Linked DNA regions of Kluyveromyces lactis. Each later gene encodes a partner of the first gene's protein in a complex. Links are inferred from orthologs where the notes say so. Each region holds a gene or a part of one and is shown on either strand. Other genes may lie near its edges.

Evidence for each region.
Region 2: EGD2 (region 1) and EGD1 share a complex: the UniProt entries of both Saccharomyces cerevisiae proteins name them as parts of the nascent polypeptide-associated complex. The link is inferred for Kluyveromyces lactis from reciprocal best matches to the Saccharomyces cerevisiae genes EGD2 and EGD1.

What each region holds. Positions count from the first base shown.
Region 1 is NC_006038.1:382,387-388,831, forward strand, and holds EGD2 (Egd2p), read left to right. Parts: upstream 1-3,964; coding exon 3,965-4,495; downstream 4,496-6,445. Other genes in the region: NVJ1 (Nvj1p), read right to left, coding at 290-1,129; MDM31 (Mdm31p), read right to left, coding at 1,461-3,254; LNP1 (Lnp1p), read right to left, coding at 4,577-5,410; CTF8 (Ctf8p), read left to right, coding at 5,693-6,094; MNS1 (mannosyl-oligosaccharide 1,2-alpha-mannosidase), read right to left, coding at 6,159-6,445. UniProt on the Saccharomyces cerevisiae protein: Component of the nascent polypeptide-associated complex (NAC), a dynamic component of the ribosomal exit tunnel, protecting the emerging polypeptides from interaction with other cytoplasmic proteins to ensure appropriate nascent protein targeting.
Region 2 is NC_006040.1:1,013,891-1,020,504, forward strand, and holds EGD1 (Egd1p), read right to left. Parts: upstream 3,038-6,614; coding exon 2,561-3,037; downstream 1-2,560. Other genes in the region: KLLA0_D11880g (uncharacterized protein), read left to right, coding at 1-821; MET31 (Met31p), read left to right, coding at 1,383-2,252; SVL3 (Svl3p), read right to left, coding at 3,613-6,345. UniProt on the Saccharomyces cerevisiae protein: Component of the nascent polypeptide-associated complex (NAC), a dynamic component of the ribosomal exit tunnel, protecting the emerging polypeptides from interaction with other cytoplasmic proteins to ensure appropriate nascent protein targeting.

The DNA.
Region 1 (6,445 bases):
CTGTAGACTGTGCCAATCTTGCTGGTAATGTTTACTTCTTGATCTGCTTGAAACATGCGATGAGCACTTCAAAGAAATTATCAGATTTGGTGATCATTTTGAACGGAAGTTGTGTAGTTCAAGAAAACATTTCAAATCACGTGACCAAGGTAGTTGGTTCCGTCCGTCTCAGTATATATACAAATTGATGCAACTTCTATTATGGTAGATTATGCGCTGTAGTCTAGTGTGTAACTATTTATGTTGTACAAGTATTCATGTGGATCGTCCTGAATCATTTGGTTTTACATTAGAATTTGAACGGCTCTGCGTTGGCCTGTTCGCTGGAAACTTGTGTGGTGTTTATTGTAGGTTTTGATGGTGAAATACTCAACGGTATTAGCATACCACCTGGCAATTTGCTTGCAGTGGACTCTACAATTGATGTGTCCTTGAACTTCTGTGGCGTTTCTGTTAATTTAAGGATATTTGAATGCATGTTTCGAAGATCATCATCTTTGAAAGTATTTGAAGGCAACGGAGGTGATGGCATTGGGCTTGGAGTGCGTGTTCCGTTCAAACTACCTCGTATCACTTCTTCGGTACTTTGATCAGGTAACTCCATATCACTGCTATTGTCTTCGAAATTGAACCCATATCTGAATACTATTGGTTCTGATTTGTTTCGTTGGAATTGTAGTAAAGCTCGTTGCTCTGCAGGGAAATGATGCGATGGCTTGGTACTCACTTCATCGCCCGTTACTTCTGTGTTCAGTTCGATATTCGTAGTATCAAAGTCTTTGGTATTTTTAGCAGATAACAAGTACGCGGCACTCTTCATTATCTTATATATCAGGAACGGGACAGTAATGAGTATAATCATCAAAATTATAGGATCCTTATTCTTGACTTTATACTCTATAACCTCATACAGAGTAATCCATTCCAACTCTTTAACAGGCCTAGTGAGAGCGTTGGGACATGAAATGGAGCATATATCCTCAATTAAATGTGGATCCATGTCGGCTACTTTATCCATAATTGGTTTGTTAGGGGTTTTTACTAAATTGCCAATAGATTGGAAAAGCTCACCAAAATTGATTCTGGCTTGCTCCAACCAGCCCCTATGAGCCATTGATTCAGGTACCATCTTCTGGTAAATGGTGTCGGGATGTTCAATTCCTTAGTATGCGTGCTTTATCTTTTCCCTAAACTATCTTTTCCTTCCATAGATATGTGAAGACTTGCCAATTTATCAATAACTTTTCCAGATTTACTTGTACTTGAATTTTGGTTATACATACATGGTAAAAGTTGATAACCAATCAATACAGTATGGCTAAATGATTTCCAGTAGCCCTCGATGAGACGTCTTTTAGTCCTAAAACTCATTAAAACATTCATTAAAGCACAGAGAAGTCTGGACACCAGGATAGGTGTCCGTGCATATACGGACAATCTACATACTAAAAGTTTAATATCTATGCAATGGCTCCCAAACTCATTAATATCACCTGAATTATCAGTTGTAGGGACCAGAACCCAACACGTTTCATCCTCAAGTTGATTCTTTCATCATCTGCTACGTAGTTTGCAAATGCATCATAAACTTCTGCACTTAAATCGTCCATTAATCTGCTGTCATATATGGTCCACGATCCTGCAAAATCATTTAGATTCTTGACTACGCGACATCTGATCGGAATATATGTCCTCCTTGAGTTGATATATCCGACGATAGGTCTAATCAAAGCATTATTGATGTACGACAAGCCAGGAGTGAATAGCGGAACTTCTGCCTTGACATTATGTAAACGTAGCAAAAAATCCATTATGAAATATTGCTTCACATCAATATCCTTTTGCTCTTCGAAATTCCCTGGAATGAACCCAGAGTGACGGCGAGTTTCTTTCACAATACGGTCCCTAACCACTGTCAATATTTCAGAAAGTTGCGATGGGTCAATATCATTTTCTGGTAGCAACAAATCACCGATCATATCAACGTGACCGCTAGTAATCCATCCGAAAGGACCCTCAATGCCAGCATTCAAATGATCAATATTAAGATTATCAACTCTCATCCTTGTGACTTTGTGCCAAGGTGATGAACTGGAGGACTCCTCATCAGTATCACGTTGTTTGAATTTTTTGTGAATGGTGAACATTGAATTGTCATAAGCGCCACTGATATTATCAGCGTTTAAGAAATCAAAGAAAAGCCAATGTTTCCTCAATTGAGGGAGCTCACAGTTGAATACACTGACCAGAAATGGCCTAAACCCGCCTGGCTGGTATAATGTGAACAAAACATCGTTCATGACAAACTTTGAGATTTCGAAATCACCAGGTTGATGAACGTTTAAATAGTTCCTAGCGTCATCATTTTCTTTCCAAAAAACGTGAGTTCTGTCAACAACACCACGTAGCCCATTAATAGTGACTTCATCTAGAAATCCTTTCCCGTTTATCCATTTACTTAAGGAAACCGAAATCTCGACTTGATCCATTGTCAAATCGAATTGTGTGTAGTTACCATCATCAAAATCCTCTCTACTCACCAATAATCGCTCACTTAATGCTAATTTTGCCCTCTCAACAGCTTCATGTTGAGAACCTTTGCTGAACCCATGGGGAAGCTTAGGTCTTCTAGATACGAACACTCTATTGAATGAAATTTTTCCTGAAGACCAGTCAGGAACAATTGCACTTTCAAACACTACCGATAAAGCACTGTTCTTTGTTAGAAAATTACCGACTTTAGTAGCCAAATACTCTTGTGCAAATACCGTATTCATCAAGTAGATGGCCAATGATAGAAATGAGGTGGTGAATAGAAATATGAGAAGCATATTACTAACAAGAACCCAACTAACAAATGCACTAATATCATCTGTATTGAACGGCCTCATCGATCTGGTCAAAGTCCATTTGAGGTTAATTTTTAAGCGCTGGAGTATATTTGTTGCCTGTGCAAGTAATCTATCGCGTTCGGTGATGAATCTAAATGTTGGTTGTTGCTGCTTCGTATGTTTCCTAGCAGGTTGCTGGATTTCCGATTCTTTGCCCTTTTCATTGCTCTCTGAATAGTGTCGTAGCCCTCCTGTGAAAGCGAAGACATCTCTTTTAGGATTCACGTTCGGCTTCCATGACTTAATATGAAAGTAATTCGAATAACATCGTCTTAGAACTACAGGTCTGTAAATGGTAGATGAAAGGATGGGCCTTGAACCTGATCTTGCAGCCGTTACCCAAGATAATGAATGTCGAAACATTGATCTGCCATTCAAATTCGGATGGGCTGATGATTGTGTTAATAAATGGAACAGCGGCAGGTTATTGTTTTACCCTGATATGCATCTCAAACTGTCAGTATGTGTAATATCGAATAATTCATACCTGTCTTCAACGTTTATTTCTAATTGCGGGTTAATGTACGGGAAAACCTGTTAAATAAAAAAAAAAAGAAAATAGAGAACGAGCATGTTGTGGCACATTTGAGATATTTATACTGTAGGTCTCCTCAGTTTGAGATCAACTTGAAGGTCATTCAAGCTTTTATCTGTTTGAGGAGGTCCTGGGACACAAATGAGAAAACAGCACAATAACCATTCAGTAAAATACGAGTGACAAGCGACTTACCGTTGAGCTAAGTTGTCAACCATGACTTTCAACGAAAGTTGCTGCTTTAGCTCAGTTGGGAGAGCGTATGACTGAAGTTCATAAGGTCCTGTGTTCGATCCACAGAAGCAGCATTTCGATTTATTTTTATTGTCCTTTTTGTTGTCCACGTGACAACTATTCGCATGTATTCCCGTTCTAAAGAAAAAAGTCAATTTGTCGATGAAGAAAATCTTGAAATTTCGTTGAACAAAGTTTTATTCTCTCTCTCTTCCAAAAGTTCTTTATGTGTTGAGGTAATTAAAGAGCTTTCATCTCCTCAGATCAACCCAATTAACTCAATTGAACCATCATAACTAACATAATGTCTGAAATTGCCCAAGACTCCAACGTTTCCATTTTTTCCAAAAATGAAAAGAAGGCCAGAGAATTGATCCTAAAGTTGGGATTGAAGCCAATCCAAGGTGTTTCTAGAGTCACTTTCAAGAAGAAGGATGGTCAAATCTTTGCTATCGACAGACCAGAAGTTTACAAGTCTCAAGGTGGTAACTTTGTTGTTTTCGGTGAAGCCAAGGTTGATGATTTCACTCAAAGATTAGCCAAGGCTCAAGAATCTCTTCAACAAAATGAAGGTGTTTTGCCAGCTGGTCAAGATGCTGTTTCTAAGGACCCACAGTCCATCCAAGCGGACATGCAAGCTGCTGCTGACTCCGCCACTGACAAGCCTTCTGCTGACGACGCTGTAGATGATGCTGAAGTCGATGAAACTGGTTTGAACGCTGACGACATTGAATTGGTCATGCAACAAGCCGGCGTCCCAAGAGCTAAGGCTGCTAAGGCTTTGAAGGAGCACGACTCTGACATCGTCAACGCTATCATGGCCTTGTCTGGTTAAAAAGCACAGGAATAGTAGATAACTAGATAATTCATTTTTACTTGTATACTTATCTACTGCAAACTCGTATCAGATCCTATTTCATTTCTCTTCTAGTTCTGGAACTTCATGAAGTGTGTCAGAGGCCTCGCTTTTGCTACTAGCTGGTGCGGCTGTGTTCGAGGGCTTTGTAGCTAGTTTGGATCCGCAATTGGAACACACGTATTGGAACGGTACACCAGCTACTGAGTAGCAGCCAAAGGACATTTTACATTGTGAACAAACTATTAACGATATTGATGGTTGTAATGTTTTTATGTCATCACCACCTGCTAGTATACCTAGGGCTTTATCGAACCATTTCTCACGTGCTTCAACATCTTGAGTCTTCTGTTTCTCATTTGTGCGCAATTGTTCCAATTCCATCTTAAGCTTCTCTAGTTGTTCATGCTTCGCTTTCACTTCATCGTCCATTAGTAACATTAAATCATCAGATCCACTTTCACCGCTGGAGTACCGTTGAATTAGTGAGTTAGTGTGATAGAAATTCGTTTTCTGTTTCAATTCCTCCATCTTCTCTTGATGTAAGGATATTAATGCTGAGAGCCTCGACTCATATTTTTTATTGAGCATGAGATAGAATCTTGTTATGGCAAGCCTTATGCATATTAGTAAAGCTAGTGCTACAATGCTGCATAAGATAGCACGCGAAGATGAATACTTCAAATAAACATATGCAATTATGCAAACCAATAACGTCAAATAATAATAAGTTACTGTTGCACGTAAACTTTTGGCTCTATCTTCGATTCCCTTCAATTTCGTTTCGTAGTCATGTATCTTATTCGTTATGGAAGATAAGTCTTTGTTATACCTTTGAACTAACTTCTTAACATCATTATCGCCACTTACAATCTTTCGTACGGCGCTCAACATGTTAAGGTATCAATATCTACTTCCCTTTGATGTCCGATCTCGAGAAACCCTTTATTTTAGGTAGTCCATTTTTTTTTACATAGTTGTTTGTAGGCTATAATGATCCTTTAAATATCAAATCCATGTTATTTCTAAATCATATTGACGAAAAATTATTGAAATTGAAGAATTCGGGAACAGACGATGGAATGACGCCAAAACAAGTCAGTTTGGGTTTCTTAAAACCTTATATATCCATACAAATATCGCTTGGATACTGCCTTTGCACCCAAACTTCTAGTTATGCCAAGTGTGGATATTTCCGTTAATCAATTGATAGATATATTCGCGGAAGATCGCGATACACCACCGACAGTAAGTACATCCTTAGGTCATGTCATGATAGAAATTCAAGGAGACTTGCAACATCCACAGAAGTCAATTGATCCTGCATTGGATGTGGACTCAAGGTTTATAGAGCATGAAGGAAATGGATTGGTACGATTTGGCATATTATCCTACGATCTGGAAACAAAACACGTTACGCTCTTTATTGGGAACAAACAAAGACTTATGGGTTCCATTGTAAAAATTGAGCCACCATTGGGACTCTTGAAATTTGACAAAGCTGATGGAACTGTTAGCCTGCGAGACGTACTCAAATATAAGATAATATTCAAGAATAGACCGCTTCCGATTATGTAGAAATAAAGACTTCTTAAGAACGTATTCTCTAACTATAAACAATGCATAAGGAGGATGATTTGGATTATAATTTCCAACCTGTGGTTAAGTTTAACTCATTGAGTCTTGATTGATTAAATACAGGGAATGGATGGGCCTCAGTATTAAATACAATCTTGCTTAGCTCAACATCATCGTCGAACAAAAGGTAAAGATATTTCAAAGTCTCTGCTAGCCAGAAACTCTCAAGATTGTCAGCTTTGTCTGTTGGTAATGAAATAACATTATGCAACGAAGTGTATGCGACCTTTTCTTCGCCATCCGCCGCGACTTTAATGACTTTAGTATGCTTGATGAAATTGCTAAAGATTT
Region 2 (6,614 bases), on another chromosome or scaffold:
GTGGTGGTTCTATGTCCCCAGATCCATCGATGAGTAATAACACCGGTCAACAAACAATAATGGATCTGAAGAAAAGATACAGGTACAAGGTTGAAATGGATAAGTTGAGTGGTTTCATGTTAAAGAATTTCTGTGCCGGTGCGCTAATCAAATATAGCAGGTTGTTCGTCCCAGTTGAATTCGATTCAAAACAAGGGAAGAAACAAACATGCAAGGCCCCAGCAATTAACTTAGCCGATCTAATGAAATTTGTTAAAATTTTGCTAACCCGCGTGAAAGCCACGAGGCACCAGTTCAAGAAGATGTGTATCTTGTCGATCAAATTCTTCGAAGCGTGTGTCAAATCGCGTGAGAATTACATGAAATATTTGAAATACGACGTACGGAAAGTCGTAGTCGCGTGTCTAGCCTTGACTTATCCACAGGGACACACAATGGCCAATACGGAAAAATCTATGCTGTTAGTGTCAAGCGCTGCCGGAGTATCCAACGAGCAGCTTCGGCACTGTTGTGAAATCGTAGGTCCCATTCTTAAATCTGAGTTTTTAAAGAAACAACGGCAGCAGTACCAAACTGCTCATGCACAAGCACAGACTGGAGCTAACGAATCCAATCATGCTTCCCAAAACAATACCGCTTCTATGCGGGGATCTATAGCAACAAGAACCACTGTGAACATCAGATCGACGGATTTTGGTACGTTTACCAATTGCTATACGAACCAAGACGACCAAGAAACTTACCTCACACCGTCGGACTACGAGTCATTCAACGAAATGGGTAAACAAATGGTAAATAGAACCTTCCTGGTCAAATTATGAGCTGGATAATGGTTTTTGTATATGCATTTTATGTATGTTGTTGCGACACAATCATTTCTCTTGAAGAGTAACGATGGACAATGCGCTCACGTGACCGCGCACGTGATATTCACTACTCATGCACACAGTAACGAAGCAAAAACTGTGGCGTCGGGCTGAAAAACGTATCAAAGGCTGTTGTTGATGTTAATTTGTATACAGAGAGACTGATAAAGCAACTTTGAATAGACTTAGCGAGAAGACTACAAAGGATACTTCCTGGACAAGAGTTTGGTCGGATCACTGGGTTTGATTTAAAACAATGCTGGAGATTTTTATTGACATAGTTTAAGCGGATTTTCATTCCTGTGAATTTAGGAAACGAACAGTCTTAAACAAACGTTGAAAAAGGAACAACCGGATACATTTCATAGAGTGCTCGCTCATCAAGTTAACGAAAGTATAACAGCGAAGTTTTGAGGTACTCTTTTGAGTTAGATTTGCAAACCACCGATAGAGAGAGTAAGAGAGGCAGGAGAGGTACGAACATAGAATTTTTGGTTTTTTTCTAATTAATAACCCATGAACGAAGATAGTATCTTTTTCCAGAAGGCAGCAGAGGCAATCATGGTAACTAGTTTGAATTCAGAGAAGGTTGATCCTACAATAAGAGAGTTGTTGAATAGAGTCAAATATGTTAGCACGCCTGCACCGCCATCACAACACCAGACAAATAATCTGCCGTTTTCCGCGTTAGGATCTGCTAGCAGTCAGTACGCATCATTGAATAAGAATCACCGGAACGACATCCCATATAACAACCATCCTCAGGGCCATAATAATATAGATGGTGTGGGACCTGCAGGGGTAATAGCTCCTGAAAATAAGACGATACTGAATTATTTCGATAAGCTTTTATCGAATCCTGTAAATTTCGCCAATCAAAATAACGATGGCACATCGCATTCCACTGGACACACTCCAGTGAACCATAATGGAATGACACCAAGTTTGTCGCATTCTAACGATACTTACCATCAACGTAGGGCTTCCACGGAATTGGAGAACAGGTCGAAGAAAAGGAAACTGCCATCAAAGAAAATATTATCGGGGTCTTCAGATACTGCCATTGTACCATATGACAGAGACAGCACAGATGGTAGTAATAACGCTGATTTAGACGATAAAAGATTTCCCTGCGAGAAGTGTCACATGGTATTCCGCCGCAGCAGTGATCTAAGGAGACATGAGAGACAACATCTACCGATTTTGCCAAATATCTGTACGCTCTGTGGTAAAGGGTTTGCAAGGAAAGATGCACTAAAGAGACATTTCGATACACAAACTTGTAAGAGAAACAGACAGAAACTACTCAGTATAGGAGGCGACATAAACGAGATACTCGAGAGGGCGCGACAAAGTGGTGCTACGATATATAGCGGTTCCAAGTGATAAAAAAACTAATAATAATTGTAATCTTTTTTTCGTTAACTATCGAATGACAGTCGAAAGATCTCATTAGTTTGAAGACTATGTAGCAAACCTTTACTGGAAACAATTCTAATAATCATAACTACTTTGCAATTATATAGAAACAATATATGAAGAGTAAAGAGTGAAGAGTGAAATGCTCACTATTCGTGTGCTTTGTAATTTGTTCCTGTTGAAAATTTCCTATTCTTTAGAATTTGATTCGAAGCTCGGGAAACGTGGAATTAATATAAGTGAGGGTACCATTGCCTGGCCTTTTAGTTGGTAATTTATTCGACGTCAGCTTCGAAAGTTTGACCTTCAACCAATTCAGGGATATCAATATCCTTACCTTCAGCTTCTGGAGCAGCAGCTTGTTGGTTGGCACCTTGAGCGGATTGCAATTGAGAAGCCATTTGGGTCAAAGCGTTGATAGCATCAGCACCCATTTGAGGAATGATGTCTGGGAACAACTCTTGCAAGGACTTTTCTTGTGGAATACCGTAGAACACGGAGGTGTTATGTTGTGGAGCAACTTGGACACCAACCTTGTTGAAGTGCAAGACGGTACCGTCATCCTTGAAGAAGTTAGCTTGTTGAACGTTATCAACAGTAACAGCTCTCAATTTCTGCAATTGGTCTTGCAACTTGGAGTCATCTTTGCTGGAAGAACCACTCTTCTTGGCAAACTTTCTTCTGGTACCACCGACCTTGTTGTTGGCTGACAACTTCTGCAACTTGGCTAATTTTTCTTGATCAATTGGCATTTTATTCCTTGGTTACTATCAATTAATGTTCTATTGGATCTCGAATTTCAATTGACTATAAATCACAATTACAAAATAAGACAACTATAATAAATAAACGAATCAATTCACAGTTTAAACCTAAAAGTTTGCCATCGAAACAGGTTTAACTTGATGTTCAATTCAAAAACTCTCTTCCAAATGCCAAATTTCAGATTTGGATTTCATGCCGTTCGTTGACGAGAAAAAAATTTCGTGCTGTTACCCGGGGATAAGTTTTTTTGCTAAATGACAGTCAATGGTTATATACCTGCAGTGTATATGTCTATGGATGTAGGTTGTTCATGAAGCGTACTGGGTTTGAGTTCATGGCATCGAGTTTATGACACAGTATCTTGTATACGTGAAGGTCTTAATTGATTGTAATATAGGCGACATAATACATACGTAGTTACAATGTGTTTTATTTTTATACAAGAATGGTTTCATGTGGATATGTGAGTTCTGGTCTGGTGCTTATGGCCTCCAAGTCTTGACAAATATGAAAAACATCGGACTATGAATTGATGCAACCGCATATCTTGTATGAGAAAAGATCATTTCTTTTTAGAATGAAAGAAGGAGAACTTGGACTTCTTTAATTCATTTGATTTCTGATTTTGTTCGTTATTAGAATCTGATGGTAGTTTGTCCTGTGGTTCCACTGGGGAAAGGTTTGTTTTCGACGAAGATGGTGGATTGGTTGATGATATATCAGATTCTAATGGTGGAGGAGATGTTGAATGGGAATTAGAGTTTGAGAAGGAATTAGAGTTGGAAGTTGAGGTTAGATTTACATTTGAATTTGGGTTTGAATTAGAATTCGATCCAAACTGCTGTTCCTGCTGCTGTTGTTGGAAAGCATTTGGAGGTCTTTGAATCACAGAGGCAGTAGACTCACCCTCGTCGAGCATTGTACTGGTACTGATTTGTCTCATCCCGTTTGGAACCGGTTGGTACTGTTGTTGTGGTTGTGTTGGCAAATTTGATAGTTGGCCTTGTGAACCAGTTCTCATTGGATTAGGGTTACCGTTCAGTCTTGGCATGGAACCATTATGGTAATTCATGGAAAGTGGAGGGAGGTTACCAGACAGAGAATTGAACCTCTGTTGACCAGTTGGTGCTTGTGGCATGTTGAAATCGCTTAGCATCGTATTTGATGGATTTCTTAACATTGGCATATTACTGCGCCTATTCTTCCTGCTTGTTTTTTGGAATGTTTTAGGTCCAAACCCATTAGATCCCATTGGTGCTGCCCCATCTAACATATTTTGTGATATTCCAAACCCGTTCATTGGTCTTTGTCCACCTCCGTTGATTCCAACAACGGACCCAGAGTAGCCTCCTACGCCCGGCATTCCTGGGAGACCTACACTTGAATGCTGACGATGCTGTTGAGGAACTTGCTGCAGTGGTTGTTGTTGTACATGAGGAGCCATGTATTGACCTGGAATTCCTTGAGGTGGTTTCCCCATATATGATTGTCCATGTAATTTCCTATTTTGCATTTGATTTGAATATTGTGATGGATTCTCGTTCGGTGACATACCGTTTTTGCTCTGCGCATGAGCATATTTTTGATTCAACATCGTTTTAGACTGTTTCTTTTGCAACTGTAGTTCCCTTTCCTGTAATTCTAGTTCTCTTCTGCGTAATTTCAGTTCTCTTTCTCTTAATGCATGTTCATCCGCTGACAACGGAGCTGATGACGGTGGTGTTGCAGCAGATGCAGCCGCAGATGCTCCTGCCACAGCAGCATTCGTTGATGCTGGGTTTTCGCCATTGATGCCGAGGGAGTCCTGCACTGGAGATTCGGCATATGGAATGGCGTAAACAGCCATATCCTCGATGTCGCGCAGTACAGGAGTTCCTGTCTCAGTGTATTGTTGCTCAGGCACTTGACTTGTTGGTTCAACCGGAGTCCGTGGTTCCGATAGAGGCTGAGATTGAGATTGAGTTTGACTTTGGTTTTGACTTTGCAGTTGTCTTAATGTCGAAAGTTCAGATTGTATAGCGATCAATTCGCGTCTCAAAGATGAATTTTGAGATTGTTCTCGTTGTAATTGATCTCCCAACATCGAAATTTGGCTGTCTCTAGAGTTTATTTCGTTCTGATAAGCCTCCTTCGATTCGTTGAGCTTTAGGTTGAATTCCGTTTCTTTATCCTTAAGAGTCCCCTTGAGCAACGATAGTTGACCGAGTTCATCTCTTAACTTGGATACTTTATCAGATCTTGTAAACAATTTAGATTCATCATTGTTCAATTTCTTGAATTGACACATCATAGAGTATAAGAACTCCAAATAGGGTGTCTTTATCGTAAAATCATCCGCCAGTAAGATCGGTTGTAGCAATAACAAATCTATATCTAGTGGTGCAGATCTATGTTCGAAATGGTACAACAACGAGGGGTAGTTGTTTTCACCATTATCCGCGACCCATCTTTCCAAAAGATCGCTTTCTGTATCGTAACCGGAAGGCAATCTAGCACCCATGGTTCTAGTCAACGTGATTATCTCAGTAACGAGACCCGAGATCAAAGGCTTGGCCAAGATTTGTTGATGTAATCGCTTTGGAACAAACTCTTCGAAAAGAACCAATAGTGGATCGAAACATACCCTTGGGATAGCCAACTTCCATTGCTGTGTCAAGAAATCTAACGGTGAAAAATTGCAAGTATCTATGGCATCGTCGGGGAACAATTTCAAGAATAGTGAATGGAACGTAGTTAACAAACTAGAAATCTGTTTTGGGTATGAGTTTGAAGCCGATTGGGTCTTCAAAGACCCTGTCTCACCAATGAAAATCGTTTGCTTCTTGGACTTATTACCACCGTTGAATTGAACGTACCGGTTTGATGCCACAGCCCTGATGTCATAATCCGATATCAATGAGAAAACTTTCACTTGCGGAGAGGATACCGACATCCTGATGAACGGTTCCAACTGTACAAAACCCGAACTCTCTACAAAAATCTTGGTATTGTTCATGATAACCGAATTCAACTGCGTTGTGATGCTCGAGATCTCTTGCAACGACGAAGCAGACAAGATCACAAGATCGAATTTCTCCGAATCTGTCTCCAAGCTCAGTTTCAACTCATTAAACCCATTGAAATGTTTCTGCAACCGGAACGTATCGGTTCCATACGATTGCGTCTCGATGCTGAACTCATTACTTTTCGAATCACTCACATGGTATAAGTCAACAGATTTCGCAAATTGAAACCTCCAAGCGTACAACGCCAGGTTAGGATGGTTCCCATATATTAGAACCTTCAATTGTGACATAATTCCCTGTGTCGCTGGCTCCTTTTCAACAATCCAAACAGCAGAAGCGTTGTTTTGATTATTATGCTATGTTGTGACTTGTACTGGGAAAGGAATGAATATCCAGAATCCGAAAACTAAAAATGGAAAAAAGATGCTGATAAACTCTCTTTACTTCCGGCAAACTTCAATCAAACCAGAACCAGAACCAGAACCAGTACCACTCCTAATGTGTAGTTCCTGTCTTGCTGATATTCACAAAATGCCGGTTCAATCAACTTATTAACGTT